Linked DNA regions of Notamacropus eugenii. The protein of the gene in region 3 binds, or shares a complex with, the protein of the main gene of each other region. Links are inferred from orthologs where the notes say so. Each region holds a gene or a part of one and is shown on either strand. Other genes may lie near its edges.

The links.
Region 1: the proteins of LIMS1 (region 3) and RSU1 are in contact, whole or in part, in a crystal structure (PDB 7LT9), measured with the Homo sapiens proteins. The link is inferred for Notamacropus eugenii from reciprocal best matches to the Homo sapiens genes LIMS1 and RSU1. Residues at the interface, in NP_001180417.1 of Homo sapiens: Cys252, Phe253, His254, Cys255, Asn256, Leu267, Asn268, Lys269, Ser279, Thr280, Cys281, Asn282, Thr283, Glu293, Phe294, Asp295, Met296, Lys297, Cys303, Lys306, Phe307, Pro308, Glu310, Leu311, Arg314, Leu315, Lys317, Leu318, Ala319; in NP_036557.1 of Homo sapiens: Asp21, Ser23, Asp24, Gln44, Val46, Ser48, His49, Val67, Asn69, Phe71, Asn72, His90, Asn92, Met95, Glu112, Asp115, Thr117, Tyr118, Arg137, Ala138, Tyr140, Ser142, Asp143, Ile161, Ser163, Arg165, Asp166, Glu184, His186, Gln188.
Region 2: LIMS1 (region 3) and PARVA share a complex: the UniProt entries of both Homo sapiens proteins name them as parts of the heterotrimeric IPP (ILK-PINCH-PARVIN) complex. The link is inferred for Notamacropus eugenii from reciprocal best matches to the Homo sapiens genes LIMS1 and PARVA.

Annotation. Positions count from the first base shown.
Region 1 is NC_092874.1:57,467,631-57,475,044, forward strand, and holds the start of RSU1 (ras suppressor protein 1), read right to left. Parts: upstream 3,083-7,414; 5' UTR 2,835-3,082; intron 2,675-2,834; 5' UTR 2,672-2,674; coding exon 2,563-2,671; intron 1-2,562. UniProt on the Homo sapiens protein: Potentially plays a role in the Ras signal transduction pathway. Capable of suppressing v-Ras transformation in vitro.
Region 2 is NC_092877.1:32,946,094-32,954,194, reverse strand, and holds the start of PARVA (alpha-parvin), read left to right. Parts: upstream 1-5,101; 5' UTR 5,102-5,163; coding exon 5,164-5,440; intron 5,441-8,101. UniProt on the Homo sapiens protein: Plays a role in sarcomere organization and in smooth muscle cell contraction. Required for normal development of the embryonic cardiovascular system, and for normal septation of the heart outflow tract.
Region 3 is NC_092877.1:204,394,465-204,402,478, forward strand, and holds the start of LIMS1 (LIM and senescent cell antigen-like-containing domain protein 1), read left to right. Parts: upstream 1-4,943; 5' UTR 4,944-5,081; coding exon 5,082-5,263; intron 5,264-8,014. UniProt on the Homo sapiens protein: Within the IPP (ILK-PINCH-PARVIN) complex, binds to F-actin, promoting F-actin bundling, a process required to generate force for actin cytoskeleton reorganization and subsequent dynamic cell adhesion events such as cell spreading and migration.

The DNA.
Region 1 (7,414 bases), on a different chromosome or scaffold from region 3:
TTTCTCGAAAATCACTCTAATCATTTCATTACTTTGTTCAAGGTCTAGCTACTTCCCAAGCTGTCTCCCCCACATACCATGCTGATTTCACTACCTTTAATCATGCCCTTTTCCCTAATCTGGAACACTCATTCCTATCTTTTTCTCCCATCTATGTCTCTCGCCTCCTTAAAAACACTGCTCAAAATTAATTTTTCAGTAAGTCTTTCCCTATCAAGTCCACTATACATGTTCTACTATGCATTTATTTTTATGTTGCACTGTGTGCCTTCTTACCTTTTTTTCCACATTTAGAACACTCTAGTTCCACAAATAAAATCTACACTGCTCATCAGTAACGAAATTTTGTACTTCTTTTACCTCTTCCCACTCCAAGTTCTCTGTTCAAAGGTACCTGATAAATATTCTAAAATCTCATAGTTAAGCCTGCAGACCTCAAACAGTGATGAAGAAATTACATTTGGGCTAAACATAAGATTCTTTTAACTGGCAAATACTGTAGAAAGCCTCACCTATTTAACCCCACATATTATAACATTTTTGACTTGTAAGTTGAAAATTTGTTAAATTTCTTACCATCATTTGTTCCCTTTCCCCCGTCACCAAGAGGTAGTTTATATAGCACCCACACAAATTCACCACTCCTTGAAGTATATATGTACATACAGATTTTCTTTTATTACTTCACATTTCAACAATTTTGATTTCATCAGCTTTGGGTATGCCCTCTATTGACACATATAAAAACCCTAACTACAATTTAGTAGCTGACCATGAAGGCTTGCATCCAATCCTCTTTTCATTATATAGATCTTACAGATGAGGAAACAAGACAAGAGAGGGTTAAATTACTTGCTAAGGTCACTCAGGTAGCAAAATTCAAACACCACATCCTCCAACTCCAAATCCAGCAGTCTCCATAATACTAGATTGCCTCCTCTCCTGCTATCAGCATGAGAACATGCTTCTCCAAAACCATCTGGACCAGTCCCTTCAGTCACAACTTTGTCGTTGGGCAAAGAGAGGAAGCCTTTTCAGCTGGGCAGGATCTGCCAGTGGTTGGGTTCTACTGGCACAACTTAGAGATTGCAGAGTCATTTCCACACCACAATGAGACATCACAGTAGAACATAAAAATACCTTCCACTAATTAAACTGAATTAATACTACTCTTGCTTTGAAGATTTCATTATACCCCTTACAACATAACTGAAGATACCCTGGGGACCCACACAAAACTAGGGCTGGGAGGTACAGCATTGCATTTTCAAACCCTCAGAATTAAATTTTTATTTGGGGAACTCTAGTTTTTAATTACTGAGGGACATTAATCTTAAGTCAAGAATTCTTAATTTTGTTTTGTGAGACCCTTTGGTAATCTAGTGAAACCTATGAAATCCTTCTCAGAATAATATTTTTAAAAGCATAAAACAGACAGCATTACAAAAAAACCCAATTATATCGAAATGAAGTTATCTGTGTATGCATACACGTCTCTATGTATATGCAAATACCTATATGTGGGTGTACATGATGTATTATAATGGAGGTGTATGAATATGTATGGGTAGTTAGGTGGCCCAGGGCTGAGCCTGGAGTCGGGAAAACCTGAGTTCAAATGTGGCCTCAGATTTTTTACTAGCAGTGTGACCCTGGGCAAGTCACTTTACCCAGTTTGCCTCAGTTTCCCCCTCTGTGAAATGAGCTGGAGAAGAATGGCAAACCACTCCAGTATCTCTGCCAAGAAAACCCCAAATGGATCACAAAGAGTCAGACACAATTGAAACAGCTGAACAACAAATACGTATAAGTGTATGTATATATATATATATATATATACATATATACGTACATACATACATATGTGTACGTATATATATATGTAGGTGTGTGTATGAAGTTCATAGATGCTATGTTAGGAACTCTTGCCTTCAATTCTCTCCAACGGAGTGGGATTTAGGCTTTTTTCCCATGGTGGCTCATTTGTGTATACACAAAAGGCTATTTTTATAAAACACACATTCATTGATCATGTTTATTTTGATCTGGAGAAGATATTAGAAATGATCCTGTTAACCTTAGTGAGGCTAAATGTTTGATCAGGATCTAGTGCAAAAAACAGCATATCTTACATACATCTGTTGTATCTTGTGTATATAAGAGCTGTGCAAAAAATGAAAATAATAAAACAAAAAATTACACTGATTCCTTCCAAATCGTAAAAAACAAACTGGTAAGTAACACCAAGTTTTCAAGAAGTCTATTCACCATGCCAAGGCACTCCTGGGTGGCACGATCCATACTCAAGGATCAGGTGGAACAGTGGGGTCTGGAGACCTGGACTCAGCGCCCTCTCGGATGATCGATCGGCTGGGCCTCAGTTTCCTCCCCTGTAACACGGGCTGGCCCGACATCTACGACCTTTTAAAAGTTTGGGAAAGGGACCGGACGGAGTGGGAGGCAGGCCGAGCCCAGCCGGGCGCGCAGCGGGAGAGCGCGGCCCCCTGCGGGGAGGTTTGGGGTCCCCCGCCCCCCCCCGCCCCGGACCCGGGGGCTACTCACACAGGCCGTGGACGTCCAGCATGTTGGAGATGCCGCGGTCGCACATGTCCACCTCGGGCTGGTTCTTCTCCCGGCTCTCCTCCACCAGCTTCTTCAGAGACTTGGACATGGTCTGCGGGGGGACGCACACGAGAAGCGCGGCACGCGTGGGTCTGGGGTCCCGCCACCTCCCACGCCCAGCCCCGACGGCGGACAGGACCGGACCCACCCCGCGCCCCGTCCCCAGGTGGGAGGGTGGGCAGAGGGGCGCCCCCACCGCCACCCCCACTTACTGTGCACAGCCGCAGCGCCGGGGGTCCCGCACGGTTAAGCCGGGAGCCCACAGGAGTCAACACGCCCTGTCCCACACCCCCGCGCAAGCGCAGACCGCGCCACTCTCCGCTCCCGCCCCTCCAGCGCGAGAGAAGCCCAGGACTCTTCCCAATTTAGGAGAATCGCTCGGAGGCCAGGGCCTCGGGGGCAGGCTCCGCCCCACCCCAAAATGTGGCGCTCCAGGCGGGCCAATCACCTCGGCGGACCTGGCCTCAGACTCCGCCCCGCTCCGCTCTCGGCCACGCCCCCAAGAGGTCGCTCTTAGATGCTGATTGGTGAAGCCGAGGGCGCGTGCGCAGGAGCGCTTACGCACCTCCAGTTTCGTTGTCGGGTGTCGGTGGAGAGGGGAAGCAGAGGCATGCTAGGAAGCAGGAAACTCTGAGAGAGTCGTGCGCCCTCGGCCGGGCCTGTTATGAGGGGACCGTGCAGCTCCGGGTCCGTTATCTCCAGGGATTTAAGAAGCTGTTCCGTTTATTTGTCCCGTGTAGCTTTGTTTGCGCGCCGTCTCCCCGTTGTCCTCAGTACCGAACACATTGCCCAGCACACAGAAGGCACCTAATAAATGCTGATGAATTGACTTGACCTGTCCGTACCTTTTGTATACGTTTGTTTTCAGGTCGGGAGCTCCCTGAGGGCAGGGGCTTTCTTTTACCTTTTCTACTGTATTCCCCCCTACCCTCTTACTCCGAGTGCCTGGCACATCGTAGGCGCTTAATAAATGTTGATTGATTGGATCCGAGCGCTGGATCCCATGAACTTTGCAGCAAAGCGTCTGGGGCCCCCCTTGTCATTGGCCCCTGAGCGGGCTGGGGAACGGGGACAAGGCGGCTCCCGACTGGCTCACCTTGCCCCAGAACCTGATTGTCTCCTGGAACCTGAGCATAACAGAAGGCGCTTAATAAATGTTGATTGATTGGATCCGAGCGCTGGATCCCATGAACTTTGCAGCAAAGCTTCTGGGGCCCCCCTTGTCATTGGCCCCTGAGCGGGCTGGGGAATGGGGACAAGGCGGCTCCCGACTGGCTCACCTTGCCCCAGAACCTGATTGTCTCCTGGAACCTGAGCATAACAGAAGGCGCTTAATAAATGTTGATTGATTGGATCCGAGCGCTGGATCCCATGAACTTTGCAGCAAAGCGTCTGGAGGCCCCCTTGTCATTGGCCCTGAGCGGGCTGGGGAACGGGGACAAGGTGGCTCCTGACTGGCTCACCTTGCCCCAGAACCTGATTGTCTCCTGGAACCTGAGCATAACAGAAGGCGCTTAATAATTGCTTGCTCCTGTTGACTGGCGGAAACCTTTGGACCCCTTCTCAGAATATCGCTTTTAAATTCATCAAATAAAAAAATAGAAGATTTGAAAGGAAACCGATTAGGTTGAAACTGTTCTCAAAGGAACTTTCTTTAAAATAGAGTCTCCAAGTTATTGTGTTTTTATTTTTAAAAAAGAGCCATTTCATCATGAGCTTAGTTAATTATTATATTTGTCTTGGGGGGAAGGGAACTAATGGGATCACAGGAAAAGGATAGAAGAGACGGGATCCTAGGGAGTAGTGCTCTAGATGAAAATCCTAGAATTTGGGGTCAAGCCAGTGACTTGTTTTAAAGATACTTGCACAGCAGCAAATTCATTTGTTTTACCAAATCTATCTAATTGTAATATACTAATGTTACACCTGCATTCTTTGTCTCCAAAAATTGGAAGCTAACCTGAGAACACAATTGAGGACGCCACAATTTAAAAACTTTTTAAAGCAGGTCAAACCTCGAATCATGTTTTAAACCAGTAATTCTTAACCTTGAGTCTGTTAATTTTTTAAAGAACTTTTTGACAACTATTTTAATAGTTTCCTTGGTGATCCTATATATTGCATTTTATGCAAATAAAAATACTATTCACAAAAAGTATCCATAAGTTCCACCAGGTGGCCATAAGGGTGCACAATGTAAAAAAAGTTAACCACTGTTTTAAGGAAAACTGAAGTTGGATATTGGGGTTTGTGAAATTGTGAAATAGGTGAATGTGTGTGGAAGCCTAAGTTTCCCTCAAGACGTTTATGTAATACTCTCTCTCAACAGACTACCATCTGTCTCTTCCACTCTGCTGCTCCTCCCACCCAAAGAACTATTCTCAGCTCCTTCATTCACAGGGAAATAAAAGTAACAATTTGAAAGTTATATTCATTCTAGAATGTTTGGAGGGATTTGGTCTATAGTGTATTACATGGGCATTCCTAGAAATCTTATGGGTAGGTATTCCATTTGAAACTCAGCTGGTCAACTTATGAAGGCAATTAGTATCACAGTCCATTAGCAAATAAAGCATATGAAAAAGCAAGCCCAATAATTATTGATCAAAAAAAAGACTAAAGTTATAGTAATAAAACTTGCTGGGAAACTGGGTGACGTAGTCAATAGAGCTTGGGGTCTGCAGTCAGAAAGATTGAGTCATCTGTCCTTTGATGACCCTAGCAAAATCAGTTGACCTCTTTGCCTCAGTTTCCTTATCTGTAAAATGGGGATAATAAAAGTCCCTATCTCTCCAAGTAGTTGTAAGAACCAAATGTTAGTATTTATAAAGTCCCTGACACATAGTACATAATTTTTAGCTTGTATACACATACCCCGTGTATTCCTGTTAACACAACCAATGGTCTAACAACTTTTCTAACTGGGGAACAGTTAAAGATAAATGTTTAAACCATTAAACCATCTACTATGTTCAGCCACATTTCTTAAGCCTCATGTGGACCAAGTAACAAATTTGACAATAAGGATTATTGTCAGGTATCTAAGATGTCATTTAATCCAACCCCCTAATTTTGAAGAGAGGAAACTAAAGTCCAGTAAGGTGATATGAATGCACCAATTAAATTTCTTGTTAATTTATTGCCCAAGAGGACACAAGTAGTGTCGAGAATGGAATTTAAACTGAGCCCCCCTGACTTGAAAATCCATGTCATACATGTCTGTGTATTTAACCACTGTATTACACTGCCTCCTCCTCTCTGTAGCTTATATCCCACCTAGAAAGGCAGAGATTGCAGTGGAAATAGTTGAAAATTGCAGTCATATGACCAGAATTTTTTATTTCCTAGGTGTACAACTAAAGACAAACTAGCCTCTCTGAGCTATGATTTCCTATGTAAAATGAGCGGGTTAAACTATATGCTCTCTCAGGTCCTCTCTACATTTAACTAACTTGAGTAAGACATGTAGGCTTCTCTGTCTCTTAAGTTCTGGGACCTTAGATGTGTCACCTAACTTGCCAGTACTTCAGTTTAGGACAGTACTCTGCCAATAGGGAGTCACTCCAGTGAAAACTTAGGGCCTCCCTTTCTGCAGCTGGGTTCCCAGTGCCCTACTCCTTCCTTCTTCCATGCACAAGTAGGCATGGATATCAATAGCTTAAGTCTTTGTCCAAGCATACAACTTTTGTGTGAGGAGTCATTCAGAGATGTCAAAGATGGCAAACTCATTAATAAGTTTGAGTACTGAGAGTAACATGTAAAATAATGGAAATCATTTCAATACAAAGTTTTATTTCAAGCAATGGGGAAGAGGAGGCAGGAAAGGAGGACCCAGCCCACAACTCAGACATATACACGAGCACAGAACATAACTCACATAAAGGTGGTGCTGCATTGGGGAGCACAAAGATGTGGGTTCATTAAGCATGAAGTTGCCCTTCTGAGAGTGGGATTCTCATACTCTGATATGGGGTGGTCCTCCTGGACCTGGCTGTTTTGCTTATTAGGGATAAGGGGAAAATACTTTGGTGATTTGTTATCAGGAAGTAAAATGAGCTAGATAGTAAACAAAATATTACTTGAGAAACGCCGCTGTATTAACCTTCAAAAATTGTTATTTTCAGTATTTTTCCATGAGTGTGTTCTATAAGCTTACATATAGCCTCCCTTAAGGGGAGAACATCAGGCCTCATCTTAAAACAATGGTTCCCATGAATAGATTCTATTAGCTACTGCCTCCCTTATGGGGAGACTCATGGTGGTCTCAAGATCAAGAGGTCTAATCTTATAACAATTTATAAAATAACAAGGTTGAACAAATGACGTATAAAGTTCCTTCCTGATCTAAACTTATGATCATATGATCTATGTGAAAATAGTCATAATTTGGAGACTAGACTCAGACTAGAGGTCGTATAAGTAGTAATAGATGTAACCCTACCTTCTTCTCTGGAATTTAACTAACCAGATCCAGTATTTGAGGAAATGCCTAAAAACGCTTTTTTTCACTCATTCTTCTCCCACCCAGAGTCAGTCACCTATGGGCAATCTCAGAGTATATTTTATTTGCAAATCTCCACTGGTAGGATAAAAAGGTTCAAACAACCCATGCAAGCACTTGTGGTAACAATGCATACCACGTACAGGACAGCTTTTATTTCACTCCATGAAAAATACATTAAACTTGTAACTTTCAGTAAGTAACCCATAAACAACCATTTTAATGGTCTTCCCTCTCCCAGACTTATAGCACCACCTTGTGTTTTGAATGACCCTTGAATGGAAATATACC
Region 2 (8,101 bases), about 170 Mb from region 3:
ATTTTATATACCCATGATCCTGTGAAAATTTCTCAAACAAAAAGGGGTCGCAAGAGGAAAAAATTTAAGAAGACCTGATCCAGATCATCTATACATATCCATGTTTTGCTTATATAAGTTGGATACTTGTTGCTCCCTAACTAAGCATCTTTGCCGGGAAATCACTTTCTACAGAGTAGACAGTTTTTCTTCTTCACTTTAAATTCTTTCCATCAATTCTTCCTCATTATCATTATCACCATTACAAGCAGCAACTAGACCATGTTTGAGTGGATTTTCCCATTCTTCTCCTTTTACCAGCTCTGGGATAAGTAGCTGCCATTGAGTCAAAGCTCCCTCCTTCTCAAAGACAGTAAAGTCTGCATCTGCTGCTGCTGGCTCTATCCTCTTTTCTTTCCTCAAGGAGCTGACAGGCTAGAAGCTATTTTCAAAGTTTTTACTTTTTTGCACTCTTAGTTCTGTGTTCCATGTCTTTGGCATTCCGTTGCACTCTTTGGCTTCTCTTTCCTTTCTTTTCCTTCCTTGGTGGAAGGCAGATCAGTTCATTGGTGGATTCTGTTGCCCCCACACAGGTCTCTTTCTTTCCATCCCAATAAAGATACTGCTCGGTTGAGGAATTATAATAGTATGGAGAACCAGGTGGGTTGTTGATTTGATCGTACAGTTGAGGATTTTGGGATAATATATCTGCTGAAATAGTGGTAACTGCTGCCCTTGGTACAGTAGATGTATCATTCTTCGCTCCCCCTTGTTGCTGGTAAAACTGCTGATAATCCAATGAATACTGGATTTTCTGTGCATAGCCATCTTGGCCTGGCTGCAGGTAATTGTTTAGGCATACCTCAGAGATACTGCAAGTTAGGTTCTAGACCACTGCAGTAAAGCACATATTGTAATAAAGAAAGTTACACAGTTTTTTTGGTTTCCTAGTGCATATAAAAGTTATGTTTATACTATGCTGTAATCTATTAAGCATACAATAATATTATGTCTAAAAAATGTACATACTTTAATGAAAATGCTTTATTGCTTAAGAAAATGCTAACCATCAGCTGAGCCTTCAGTGAGTCATAATCTTTTTACTGGTGGAGGGTCTTGCCTCGATGTTGAGGCTGCTGACTGGTCAGGATGTAAGTGCTAAAGGTTGGAGTGGATATGACAATTTCTTAAAGTAAGACAACAACGAAGTTTGCCATATTGATTGACCCTTCCTTTCATAAAAGATTTCTCTGTAGCATGAGATGCTGTTTGATAGCATTTTACCCACAGTAGAACTTCTTTCAAAATTGGAGTCAATCCTCTCAAACTCTGCTGCTGCTTTATCAACTAAGTTTATGTAATATTCTTCAATATTGTTGGACTCATCAGATAATGGAGAGGCCCAGGAGATGGAAAAAGACAGGGGAATGGCTTGTCAGTGGAGCAGTCAGAACACACACAACATTTTTCTATTAATTTTGTGGTCTTAATGGGTACAGTTGGTGGCACCCCAAAACAATTATGTGTATGTATGCATAATGTGTATATAATACATATATATTACAGATCATCATAACAGATATAATAATGAAAAACTATTAAATATTGTGAGAATTATCAGAACTGTTGGAAAAATGTTGAAAAAGTGACAGGGTTGCCAGAAACCTTCAATATGTAAAAACTCAAAATCTGTGAAATGCAATAAAGCAAAGCACAATAGAAGGAGGTATGCCTGTAGTTTATATTGTCACATTCTCCACTTTGAGACTGAGGGGATGACCACCTAGCTACAGCAATGGCTATGCTAACCACAGAAAAAGTGCTGACCCTGTTACCATCTGGTAGAACCCAATCTTTTTGAGCACTTTTGGCAAAATCTGTTCCAATTGTTTTGGCATCGATATTCAGTGGAGGATGAAGACTTTGTAGCACTTCTAGTAGCTGAGAAGCATCCGTTGTTGAAGACATCTGTACAAATGCAAATCCTCTGTTCTGCTGCATCTGTTTTTCTCTTATAAGATGAGAGTTTCTGACTAATGACGCATTTCAAGTACAAGGAGCAATAGTAAAAGAAAAATAGTATCACAGTAGTAATCCATAGACTGGATAGACTCTGTGGTTTTAGATGGAAGTTCTGAGTTAAATTTATCAACTCCACATCTGAAGCATTTGAGTCTTTTCCTAAAGTTGTTAGGGCAGCACTTGTTACAAAGCCATCCTCAAATTTAGGTCCAAGATTAAGATAATGCATTGCAATGTGATTTCATTGAATTACCAACTTTTTCTGATTGGTTTCTATCCAGCTGGTAGCATCTTGCAATTGATGATACTCTAAGAAGGAGAGGCCATGGCTTACACCTATTTTCCTCTTCATCAGCCATATATCTACAGGCTGAGAGCCTTCAAAGGATTCCATTCTCTTTCTAATATCATTCTTTGTAACAGTAACTGAAAGTGGGGGCAACATAATTGTTTACTCTCCCACTCATCGTTAATATCATTCCTATAGTCATGTTCTCCATAGTCAATATCAGAATGGTAACCATTTTCTGATCTGTCACCGTTCTTTCTCTCCATGTTCCCTCTCTGGATTGTCATAATCCCTGGGATCATCATATCCATCTTCCCTTTGATCGTCACTAGATCTTTTATAGTCTGAATCATTTTGACTGCTTCTGGATTCACATTAGTCCCAATCAAACTGGTCCATGATGGAATCATATCTTCTACTACTCTCTGTTCTAGTGACTCTTTTGTCTAAACTCATAGTTTTGTTAAAAGTGCTAGCACCCTACTCCAAAAATGTCAAATATCTTTTTCTAGAGATGGTTGGGATCAGGAGAAAGTTCCAGGGGTGAGCATCGACAAACCCATGCACTCACCCCTAACTGTGCTAGGTGAGGAAGCTCTTGAAGCTCAGAGTCCCAGGGATTCCAGCAACTGTCTGGGACCTGAAGAAAATGGTGACTCCCCTGAATGTTGTCTCCTATTCACTTAGCCCCTCAACACTCTTAGCTGGCCATCACCTGCTGGAGCCTCTTATACTTCTTAAACAACAAGGTGGACATGACCATAGTTCAGTTTTTTTAAAAAAAATATAAGCCTCTTTCTTGCTTTTTTTAACATATTCAAATTGTTAAAATCAGTAGAGTAGGAAGGGAGGGAGTAGGGAACATGAAACTGACCAAGTAAGAGGGAGGTACATTTTTTCTTCAGCTTGATAAGCTGCTTCAGATACACCTAAAGTTACTTGCCTTTTTTTGTAACCCCAGTGGTTAGCACAGTGTCTAACACATAGCAAGTGCTTAATTAATGGAAATCTTATTTGATGATAAATAGTTTGATGGTCATCAAAAGACCTGGGTTTTTTTCTTAGACAGCTGAATCACCAATTCACAGTGACCTTGAACAAGTAGTTGACTTCTCAGGGTCTCAGTTTCCTCATCTGCAAAATGCACTACTTACCACACAGGGTAAAAATTGGATCACCTGTCTACCTGTAGCTTGCCTTGCATATAAGTTTCAAGCTTAGGAAGTTAGGGAAATATTAAGAGGAAGCTATGAAAGGTAGGGAAGTGTATTGTGGAGGAGCTGGTGTCCTAAGACCTTAATTAGTGTTATACCTCTACTGGTACTAGGAGAGTAACTGTGGACAAGTCACTTAAGGCTGAATGCCCCAGTCAGATCTCTTAAGACAATAAATGACAAATGAGATGAAGATTGGTAGAGGGAGTTTTCACACCAGGAATTTCCACAATGATGAAATCATCGATCAGAGCTTGAACAAAAACCAAAACCATCGAAGGAGGACTGGGATAGGATGGTGACTGAGGAGATTAGTGTCCACATGGCTAGGGTTCTGGATGATAGGTCATCTGAGGTAGCCCTGAGGAGTGAATGGGAGTACAATGCTGTCATTGACAGAAAAAGGGAAAGATGAGAAACCAGTTCTGGGAGGAAGATGATTAATTTGACTTTAGGCCTGAGTTTGAGGCAAGAACATGACTCTCCTGTGGAGATACTCTGGTGTTGATTGTAGGATTCTAAACAGCAGGATGGGCTCTTAAGAAATTTCAGATCTGAAAGATGTGCAGTAATATAACCCTCTGATTTTATAGTATAGGAAAATGAAGCCAAAAGAAGGGACTTGCCCAAGGTAATAAAGCTAACATGTCACAGCTAGGACTGCAACAGCATAGAATGCAGGTCACCTCTAAGCTCCTGGCTCCCAGAAATGGATCTTGAGAGAGAAGTAAGGACTGGCACTATAGATCCTGAAACTGTGCTAAAGGGAAGCTCTGAGGATGAGTAGGCTTTTCAAGAGAAAGAAGGAAAGAGAAAAAGATCAGAGTTGTTGAAACCTAATTCCTTTCTTAACTCGACCCCATGGGAAATTCAGAAATCAGATGCTGTCAGATCTGGAGCCTGTGGCAACCATAGCTTCTAGCTTATCACAAGTTTCCCAGAGTTCACTGAACATATTCAAGGTTGAACTCACAGCTGGAACTCTTGAAATTTAATTTTTTTCTTAAATGTCTGAACCAGAAGGGTCTTTAGGGGCTATCTATTCCAAAGCCATCAGCGCAGAGATGAGTACAGGGTTATGCGATTTCTGAAAGAATGGCTAGACCCAAGGGAATTTGATCATATCACACTCGCTATTGAATGTTGGCTTTCAGTTATTGGCAGGATCCAGTCTGTGATGTCTGCTGTGGTTCTTGCAGCTGGTCAGAAGAAGGTTCAGGTGCTCAAACAGGCTCTCCTGGGCTAGAATCTTATTTGAGCAGGAAAGGAAGACAGGAGAGCCAGTAAAGACCTCTTTGAGAATGGGTGCAACAGATATGGGAGGCAGAACTTGAATCCAGGCCCTCCTAACTCTAATGCTGACGGTGGCAGACGGGAAAGGTTAAGGAATAAATATCTTCATGCTTGATAAGTGCAGGTCCACTATTGAAAAGTTCTGGGTTTTGGTAGTTAACAGATGAGGTTCCAGGGGCTGAGGCTGGCTGGGGTTCCTACCTGCTTTAGGTGAGCTCAGTGGCCTGGCCTGGCCCGGCCCAGTCAGGGACACTGAGTGCCAGAACCAGGGGCCAGACAAACTTCTTCCCGGGAAGGCGGGCGAGAGGGAGGGAGCGAGGGAGGGAGGGAAGGAGGGAAGGGAAAGGAGAGCGAGAGCTGCCTCAAATGCTTGGAATAATTCCGCTTCCGTTTGGAAAGGGGCAGCTTCAGTCTCCGCGGCCGCCGCCTGCCCTGCCGCCTTCTCCTTCGGTGCGCCCCAGTCCGACCCGGCCCGGCCCACCCGGAGCTCCGCTCTCCGCTCCCGCCATGGCAACCTCCCCCCAGAAGTCTCCCTCGGCCCCCAAATCTCCCACCCCCAAGTCTCCCCCGTCCCGGAAGAAAGATGACTCCTTCTTGGGGAAACTTGGAGGAACCCTGGCCCGGAGAAAGAAAGCCAAGGAGGGTGAGTAGGGCGCCGGGCTCGGCTCTCGGGGGCTCCCCCTCCCCCCAGCTGGGAGCCAGCTTAGTCGGACAGCGCCCTGGGAGGGGCGGCCGGGGCAGGGCAGGGCAGGGCTGGGCTGGGCAGGCCTGGGGGGACCCTGGGAGAGCCAGGCTGGCTCTGCGTGCGCCCCAGGGTGGGGGCAGCGCATCTCGGGGCTGTGAGACCCGGGAGCCCACAGCTGGCTGCGAGCCGCGGGGCTGGAGGGTCTGGGGGTTTGGGGTGTGTGTGTATGTGTGTGTGTGAGCGTCCCAGTGTGTGTGTGCGTCTGTGTCTGTGTGCGTGAGCGTTTGTATTTCCTGTGGAAACGTCACTCTGGAAAAATGCGGGAGCCCAGCGGCTCCAGGCCTGCCCCGCCCCCCGCGGGCCGGTCCAACTGCCCGGATGTGCGCTCCCTCTGCCCCGGGCCTGGCCAGGCCCCTGCCCGGGTTCCCGGGCTGCCCCCCGCGCTCTGCGCACTGGCCAGCCCCGCTTCTAGAGCTGCCAGCCTTGGCTCCCTCTCCTAAGGAGGAATGCGGATCTAGATCTTCCCGCAATGGCCAGGGAGGCTGGCGAGGCCCGCGGGGTGGTGTTCTGTGCCGCCGCCCAGCTCTGGCCGCTGGACAGGATGCGCCCGGAGCTACCTCTGTCCGGCGTCTGCTGGCCTTCCCCCGTGCCCCGACCAAGGGAGGCTGGGGCTGGGCCAGGCTACCGGGCCTTGGTCCATAAGCATCTCTCTCTCAGTTCCGGCATGCACTTTCTGAGGTCCTCGAGAGCCAGGGCCATAATTATTACGGGGATGCCAATGATGAAAGGGCTCCCCTGGGAAATTCCCAAAGCACTTTAGAAAATGCTGTCACTTTTCAGCCTCGTGGCCTTCTGAGCCAGGGACTCCTGGGGTTATTAATCCCACTTTGCAGGTGAAGCAGATGAGGAGGAATGAGTGACCTACTCCGACTCACCCAAATACCAAATCCAAGTCCTGACTGCAAGGTCCAACATGATCCTTTATCCTCTACCCCACAATCTTAAAATGCTACTCCCATTAGCGGCTCTAAAAAGACCCAAACCAGAGCCTACACTCAGTGGAGAACTCCAATCGAGGTTACACTATTTTTTGGCCTCTTGACCACATCTTTCCCAAGGAGGCAGTGAGTATGGCCTCGCTCTTGTTTATCCTTTCTGGAAGAGGACCTTGTGACATCAGGGAGGTAGTGTCACAACATGCAAGTGAGTTGGATTTAAGTGAGGGAGGACTGTGCAAAGTCACCAGCTTCACTTTCTCCTCCAGAGCCATCTGGGTCCAGTGGCAAGATACAGATGAGATGGAGATAACCTTGGATGCAGTGGGACACTTTGACCTTTCTGATAACAAAGCTGAAGATGAGGGAGCTAGGGTCCTGTGGAAAGTTTTATAATCTCTAAGTTCCAAAGGTGGGATTTGATTTCTAGCTAGTGGGGCTACTCAGAAGAAGGCAGTCATTCAATAAGCATTTATTAAGCACTTACAAAGTACCAGACATTGAGCAAAGCTCTAGGGAGGCAAAGAAAGGTAAAAGACAGTTCCTGCTCTCAAGGAGCTCACAGTCTCATGGGGGCGATGACATTCAAATAGCCACATACTAACAGGATATATAGAGTATTATGTGAGAAATAATTTAAAAAGGGAAGTCACTAGAATTAAGGGAGGTCAGGAAAGGTTTCCTATAGAAGGTGAGATTTTAGCTGGGGCTTGAAGAAAATCAGGGAAGAAAGGAGGGAGAAAGGAGAGAGAATATTCGAGGGACAAGGGACAGCCCCTGAAAATGCTGGAGGTCAAGAATGTGCTGTGTGAGAGTAACAAAAAGGCTGGAGTCACTGGATCATCAAGTGCATAAGACAACTGGAAACATAGGAAGGAGTCAGGTTTTGAAGGGTTTTTTTTTTTTTGTGCCTAACAATTTTTTTATTTTTATTTTTTAATATTAATTTTATTTGTTTTCACTGTTCTACAATCACTACCATATAACTTAGATTATTTTTCCCCTTCCTCTCCCTCCCTCCCCCCTCCCTCCCCAAGATGGCATACAATTTTATATAGGTTCTATACGTACATTCCTATTAAATACATTTTCACTATAGTCATGTTGTGTAGAAGAATTAAAATGAATGGGAGAAATCATATAACAAACCAAAACATAATACAAAAGAAAATGATCTGCTACATTCTGGGATTGAATTCCAAAGTTCTTTCTCTGGGTATGGAAGGCATTTTGCCTTAAAAGACCATTAGGAATTTTTTTAAGTCCTTGCATTGCAACGAAGTTCCAAGTCTACCAGAAAAAACTCTCGCACACTGTGGTCATTGCTGTGCACAAAGTTCTCCTGGTTCTGCTCCTTTCACTCAGCATCAGATCATATAAGTCTTTCCAGGCCTCTCTGAAATCTTTCTGTTCACCATTTCTTATACCACAATAGTATTCCATTACATTCATATACCATAATTTATTCAGCCATTCCCCAATTGATGGGCATACCCTTGATTTCCAGTTTTTGGCCACCACAAAGAGGGCTACTATAAATATTTTTGTACATGTGGGACCCTTTCCCATTTTTATGATTTCTTGGGTATACAGTCCTAGAAGCAGTATTGCTGGGTCAAAGGGT
Region 3 (8,014 bases):
CCTGTGCCTGTGATGAACTTCCTTTTCTCCTCTGCCTCTTAGAAATCCTCTCTTCCTTCAAGTCAAAGCTCAAACACTTCTTTCTTTTTTAAAAATTAATTTTATTTTTTTTCAGTTGGCAGAAATCTACCTTCTCTCCCTCCCTTTCCAATCCCCTTGCCCATTGAGAATGAAAGGAAAACATAGTCCCTATTACAAACATGTATAGCCAATCAAGACAAAATTCCTAAATACCACTTACTTTAATATATTAACAAGATTGGCAATGAGCCAGGGCATATTTCATTTGAAGATCAGTTAAAGGAATTATTTAGGACTTCACATACTTAAAGGCAGCTCCCTTGTGGAAGAAAGGATTAGACTTATTCTTGAACTTGGAGTGCTGAGGAATAAAATTTACAGAGGTAGATTTAGATACGATATAAGGAAAAATTTCATAACTAAAATGAGCAGAGTGTCTTGAGAGACAGTGGATTCACTCTTATTAGAGTGGCTATGAGGGGGGCAATTGGGGTTAAGTGACTTGCCCAGGGTCACACATCCAGTCTGAGGTCACATTTGAGCTAAGATCCTCCTGACTCCAGGGCTGATGTTCTATCCACTGCACCACCTAGCTCCCATCATTAGAGGATTTGAAGCAAAGGTTGGGTATGTTGTAGGGGAAATGAATTCATGTTCAGATACAGGGTGGATAGGTCAACTCCTGAGATCTATTCTCACTCTGAGATTCTGGGGTTCTTCATTCCATCCTTCAGACAGCTGCTCCAATAATCTTCCTAAAGCATAAGTCTGACCATGTTACCACTTTCCTGCTCAAGAACTTTCGTTTGATCCCTGTTAACTCTTGGACAGAATACACCGTCCTCAATGTAGACGTTTAAGCATTTAAAACCTTGCCCCTTCTGGGCTTCAGCTTCCCCTTCTCCTCCCCTTCATGGACTTTACATTTCCAGTAGAAATGAGCTGTCCCTCAGACTGGGCATTCTATCTTCCATCCCTGTGCCTTTGTATCCCTGTGCCTTTATATAGACACTCCGTGCTTTAACTGGAATACACTTCCTCTTATCTCTGCCTCTTAGAATCCTTCCGTTTCTTCCAAGTTCAGCCTGCATGCCACTTCCCATCAGAAACATTTCTTGATCTTCCTAGCTAATGAGAATTCTCATCTTGCTCAAATGATCAAGTAGTCATATACTTATCTGTTTAGATGTTTTATACTTTATTGCCTGGGCTTGACCTGGACCCAAACTACCATTCAAGTGTGGAGAGAGAGTCTGGAAATGAATTGAAAAGGTTACTCTTGGGCAGGACTCTTTTTGGAACCTCGGGGGACCTCAGCTCAGGAATCTAGATTCAGTGATTCCACAGAGCCTACCTGCCACTTTCTACTGAAACAAATATAGAATAGCTAAACATGGAGGTTTTCTAGAACTGTACCCCCCCTTTTGTTAATTTCGTCTAACAGCTGTTGGTTTGATTGTATGGCTGTTGTGGCAGTAGAACCATAAATCAAGTAACTTCCAGAATTAATTACTCCCCAAAAGATTGTTTATATTTTTTAGCTGACTTTATTAGGTGCCAACAAATGCTTTTTAAATAACAAAATGCTTGGATTTGAAAATTTGAATCCCAGCAATTATGACTGACATGGCCTTAAATACCCCCTCATCTTCTTTCTTGCTCTGCTAAAAATAATAATTCGGATATTTAGACCCTTAAAAAAAGCTTTTCCTTTGGTTCTAATCCATGGTATCAAGATGAAATGAGTGATTAATTGAACTGAATTATCAGCCTATCCAGGCTTTTGAGAAGAGTAAGGCCACATAACCTCACGGTGGCAGAAGAGCTGATCCCAGTCCTTTCTTATGTAGAGTGTGAGAAACCTTGGCCCTTTTAATGTTGTTCGAGTTCCACCATAGTCTGCTTGCATTTAGTACTTTGGTGGTTAATGTTGATTGTGTTTTAGTGGTTTTCAGATGTGTCTGACCCTTTGGAACATCATTGAGGATTTTCTTGGCAAAGATACTGGAGTGATTTATCATTTCTTTCTGCAGATCATTTTACAAATGAAGAAACTGAGGCAAACGGGGTTAAGTGACTTGCCCAGGGTCACACTTGCTAGTAAGTGTCTGAGACCAGATTTGAACTCAGAAAGATGAGTCTTCCTGATTCCAAGACTAGTTCTCTGCAACCTAGCAACCCTAGTTGGTGGTATCAAGTATAAGCTTCTTGAAGGCTGACTTTAGGACCTCACATATTGTCATAGCAGCATACTGGGCATGTAGCAGCAGGTCCCCAAGTTCTTGTGTGATAAATCACTCATAAGTAATAAAAACTAATAAGAAATAAGAATATGTAATGTGAACAATAGTGGGTTTTTTCTTAGAGACATTTTTTTGCTCTGTAACAATAGTTTCTATAAAGGTTCTCCCCAATTATGACTAGTCCTTTCATGTTGGTTTCTCTCCTTTTCCTCACTCCCTTAACTATGGGTCTTCCCCAAGGTTTTATCCCTCAGCTCTTTGACTTGGGTAATCTCATCCATTCCCATGACTTCAAGTATCACTTCTATATAGACAGTTCCCAAATGTACCCTAGCCTCCAGTCTCTCCCAACATCTCCAGATCCACATATCCATCTGCCTGTTGATACTCCAATGGTGTACCAAACTCAACGTGTCCAAAATCAAACCCTTCGTGATGCTCAAAAGCTCGCTCTGTGCCTCTTGAGTTTCCTTTTTCAACTCATGGCACCAACATCTTTATAGACACCCAGGTTCCAAACTTCAGTCATCTTTAACTCTTTCCTGTCTTCCATTCTCAAATCACCAAATTCTGTTGTCTCTAGTATCTATCCCTTTCTTTTCTTTTTCACCATGCCACCTTTGAATTCTGGTTGTGATGGCGATAGTTTAAAACATATCTTTCACTATCATGTGTATTGAAGAATTATTGGATTATTAGCAATGCTGTGAAGGGGAAAAGAAACATTGTCTTTTAAAGTCAGAGGACTTGGGTTCTACCACTTATTGCCTATATGACCTTAAGTCATATAATTTCTGGATCTCTGGATCTTCTTTACCTGCAAAATGAGAATATTGATTTATATTACACCAATGTCCCTTCTGTTTCTAAATTTGTGACATTATAAATGACATGATAACTTACCTCACTTAGACAAGCATTTTGCTTGCAAGCGAATACATTTTGTAACCTTTGCTAAGTCAGAGATAGAATCTATTTTCTTTTTTTAACGTTAAAGGGAAATTTTGAGCCTCATGATAAATTTCAGGTTTTCACTGGCCCTAGTGATGATGACAACTGAAATCTGTATCATGCTTTAAATATTGGTTTGATCCTCACAGCAGTCACACAAGGTAACTTCTAATATCAATACTCTCATTTTGCAGATGAGGAAACTGAGTCTTAGGAAGATTAAATGACTTACCTCAGGTCACACAGATAGTAAATATCTTAAGGCGGAATTTCAACCTAGTTCTTGCTGACTCCAAGTTCAGTACTTTCTCCACTAAATCAGAGACCCATCTTCTCCTACCACTTACTATCAACAGATACAGTTTCAGTTTATCTCTTCTGTAGGTTTTAGGTGGCCCACGTAAATTTTCTAAATTGATTGGAGGAGGGTTGTTTAGGAGGACCATGGGTTATTAAGAAACTTTAAATTTTACTTTAGGGTGCATTTTATTATATAGTAGATTTGCCTTGATAATTACAGTTTTACTTAAATTAATATTAGAACAGTTTTGCATTTTTTGAATGTGTAGCAAGTAAAGGGGCAAGATTTCATTTTGTATAAGTGGAAATCTAATCTGTGATAAATTTGTTGCAGGCAATATTAATATGTGTATGTAAATACATATATATGTAATGCTTGGATGTGTAGCCTTTTACATGCAGATCCTGGAAAGCTTCTTTGTAGAAATACGTATAGTCTGTTTCATTATTTTTGTCTTTAGGGCTCACTATTTGATAAAATTTAAAGATTTTACCAATCATGGAGAGAAGGAAGGTAGTAAGAATTTAGATCTGGAGAGAACTTAAAGAACATCAGCAAACACAAGTCTGATCATTTGGGTGGGGTAAATTGATCTGGTGCATGAAATACTAAAACAGGTCCCTATGGTAAAGGAGAAAAGTCAAGTGCTGGCATGTGTGTTGGAAAGAATCGCGTCATTGACTACAAAACTGCCCCTGTGTTGGCTGCTTATGGAGCCTTTGAGATGGAAGCCTAGAGATAACTGTGAATTATTAAGAAATATTGATTGTGAGCCTTGAAAGGATTCAATCATAGGCAAAGCTGTAGAAAAAAATCTAAGTGAAATGCCAAAGAACAAGGTGCAAGTGAAGCAGCCTGTTAGAGGTTCCTCTTTTCTCTAAATTTTAAACTACTTTTTTTGTAACTCAGGAGAAATATTATAAAACACAGATAATGTTAATATGTGGTTTTCTCTGTCAGTATGTGACATGTAGGGTTTATGTATGGTTTAGTAGCCCCAGTTTCTATTTAAGTTTAGTCAGAATGTAGTGCTTCACATACACAATATTTTTAGAATCTGGAAATAAATATATTCTCTGTGTGTGTGTGTGTGTGTGTGTGTGTGTGTGTGTGAGAGAGAGAGAGACAGAGAGACAGAGAGAGAGAGAGAGAGAGAGAGAGAGCGAGAAAGAGAGAGAGAGAGAAAGAGAGAGAGAGAGAGGAGAGACTTGGTTGTCCATAAAATGCTTCTGCTGTGCTGTGGTAGAATTTTCATGGTCCATAATAGATAGTGAAGACTGTCCTCCCTATGTTTATGCTAGCTCTGATGGAATGCTTGCTGTAGGGCTTCCAACAAGCCCAAGTAAATCATACCTTGTCATCCTGTCTACGGTGCCTCTGGGCTCTTAACTTGAAGCTTCTGTGGAGTCCTTATAAAGCCTGCCTAACTGACGTGTAAACAGTGGAAATGAATCCCACTGCTGGGAATCGGGGGGAAGTCCTGTACACTGTTTTTCCCGCTGGTGTATGTAGTCGGCAGCTCTCTGCCCCAGTATCAGAGCTCTCAGATAAGTTACTGCTTCAGGATGGCACTCACAGGCAGGGTACACCCCCTTGTCATTCCAGAAAACGAAGAAATCCCACAGACTGTAATTAATGATGGCCACGATGCTGATGAGAATGAAGGCGAGAAGGCTGTGTCCAAACTGCAGCGTAGGCAAAGTGACATAAAAGTCTACAAGGAATTCTGTGACTTTTATGCAAGATTGTAAGTTTTCCCTCTCCCAGGGTGGGTCCTTTACTGATGGGAATGTAGTGTTCTCAGTATTTTAAACTCACTGGCTGTTTTGACATTGTGTCCTTGTAGGAATGGTTTTGAAGGGTGATGCGCTGCTAAATATTCCTGCTGCTCACAAGTTGATAGGTCTGTGCCTTGGCTTTGCTAGTTAATGTGGTCCATTGACATAAAAGTACTCTTAGGCGCGATGCTGGCTTCATTTAGTTGGGGCTAATAGCGGCAGAGACAAATTTTCATTTCTTTTATAGTATGAGGAAATGTTTGCTCCAAAGTAATATGTTTTCATATCAGATCTTAAAAATTTTTGCCCATTTCAGACATTTAGAGACTCAGACATCATATTTATGAAGAATGTAATTTTGTACTTTTTTGTACATTTTATATATTTTAATATATTTACTGCACAATAATGGTTTAATATATCTTTTAATACATCTACTTGCAATGCCTGGAGCTAGACATTACCATCTAGTAATGGTTTTTAGGGGACTTGGTTTAGTAAGTAAAAATAGTTAATGATTGGCCAAGTTATTTACTTACAAATAAATGCTGTTAAAGTTTATGTGATAAATAATTTAAATAATAAAAAAGTTTATATGATAAATAATAGCCTAAGATCTTTTGTGTAAGATTAATCTGGGGGGGAAAAGGCAGTAATCACAGAAGATGAGAAGGCACAAATTAGCCAAGTCAGCAATGATATAAGATGCCCACATTAATGAGATCACAGGTATGGAAGTAAAATATCTCTACTAGGTAAACCCCCTATTTTCATTAGTAGTACAGAAATAACTGGCAGACCCAAGTTAAATGATTAAAACATTTTGTGTAATTGAAAATCCCAAATAAGATTGAAATTAATGACTTTGTCACTTGTCTAGTTTACCACTCGTCACAGCTTCCAGGGATCCTTACGTGCTCTCCAGTATAGAATGTAACTCTTTGGTCCCATTTAACAGCTCCATTTGTTGAGACATTAGGGATTGTTTTCATTATGTTATAATCAGGATTTGTGTTGTCTAGTGAATTTTTGTTTTAAAATAATTTTTTACAAAGTGTCCCAAAAGTCTCTGCAGTTCTAAGCTTCTAGAAACTTAGAACTTCATTGAGACTCTTGGGACATTCTTTATTTTGTTTTTACATCGATCTTAATTTACCCCTAGTATATCTCCTCACCTCTCCCAGAGAGCTTGTACATAGAACAAAGAATATAATTTATTTTATTTTATTTATTTATAACAAAGAATATATTTTATAGAAAAAAAAGAAAATGAGATGAGAAAAAAATCAAAAAGCTAATCGAATATAGGGAGTGGGGGATGGGGATATGAAACCATATGCAGTGTTCTGTATCCAGGGACCTGCCATATTTCCAAAGGAGAGTGAGAGGTATCTTATCCAGGGAATTCTATAGATGAGCTCTAGACCTATGCAGTGTTCTGACTGAAACCAGAAAAATGCTTTATTTTAGCCTGCTGTGATAGTAAACGCTTTATAAATGGTCATTGTTGAATTATTGATTAATTTTGTACAGTATAGTGGAAAGGGTTCTATAGAGAGTAAAGAGTCAGAAGGGGGGCTTCTAGTGTTACTTTCTAACTATCCTTCTGCTTTGTAAAATTGGACAATTGGACTAGGTCATTTCCCAGATCTCTTTGAGCTCTAAATGTCTGATTCTTTGAGCAGCAAGATCTTCACTTGTGAAATAGGAGTGATTATAGTTACACTACCTAGTTCACAGTTGCTCTGAATGATGTTTCTGTAAAATGTATGCTCTACATAAATACGTGTCATTGTTGTTTTCAGAAAGTTACAACAGATGGAAGGAGGGAGACTGACACATTTATATGTGGAAAGCTAGACATGGAACACTTGTTTTAGAATAAATCGACTTAATTAGTGGTAGATTATTGTTTAAGAAGGTTTTATCTTGAGGGTTTAAGTGTTCACAGGGATTTTTATATGAACACTTTTTGATTTCACATCCTGGCAAATTTACTGATTATAATTAGCCATATTGCTTCTGTGGGCTCTCAGTTGATTTCTCCTTGATATCAGACAGCTTTGTTGATCCTTCATTGCCTGGTTTTTCTAACACAAAAATGACACTCTCTATGATATGCGGTAATTACTATATGATGAATTTTTTTTGCATCATTTCTTCAAACCTGACTACCTACTGTGTGCTAGGAATTGTGCTAAGCATTGGGGTACAAAAAGAGGCAAAAGACAGTCCCTGCCCTAAAGGAGCCCACAATCCATTGGGAAGACTATAAATATGTAGAAACTAAGCTATATATAGCTTAAATAGGAAATAATTAAGAGAGGGAAGGCACTAGAATTAAAAGGGGCTGGGAAAGGCTTCCTGTAGAAGGCGTGGGATGATGGTTGTACTGTTTTCACACAGATTTCATTTCAACTAGAGTCAAAAATGGAACTATATTGTTATGGGCGGGGGAGGGGGCAGGAAGTGTACCATATAGCTGAGGCACATTGTGAATATTATCCTGCTTCTCCCTCACCCCCCCCCTTTTGTTTTTTGGTGGGAGGGCGAAGGGGGATGAGAAGGGGTAAAACTGTTTACCTTGACATGTGTTTTAAATCATTAGCTGAATTTAGTATAGCTTCTAATCATTTATAAAAATCCTAAGTGAGACCTTGGAGGTAGAATGAGCCTTGAATTTAATCCAGATAAACTGTCACTTCAGACTGTCTGACGTA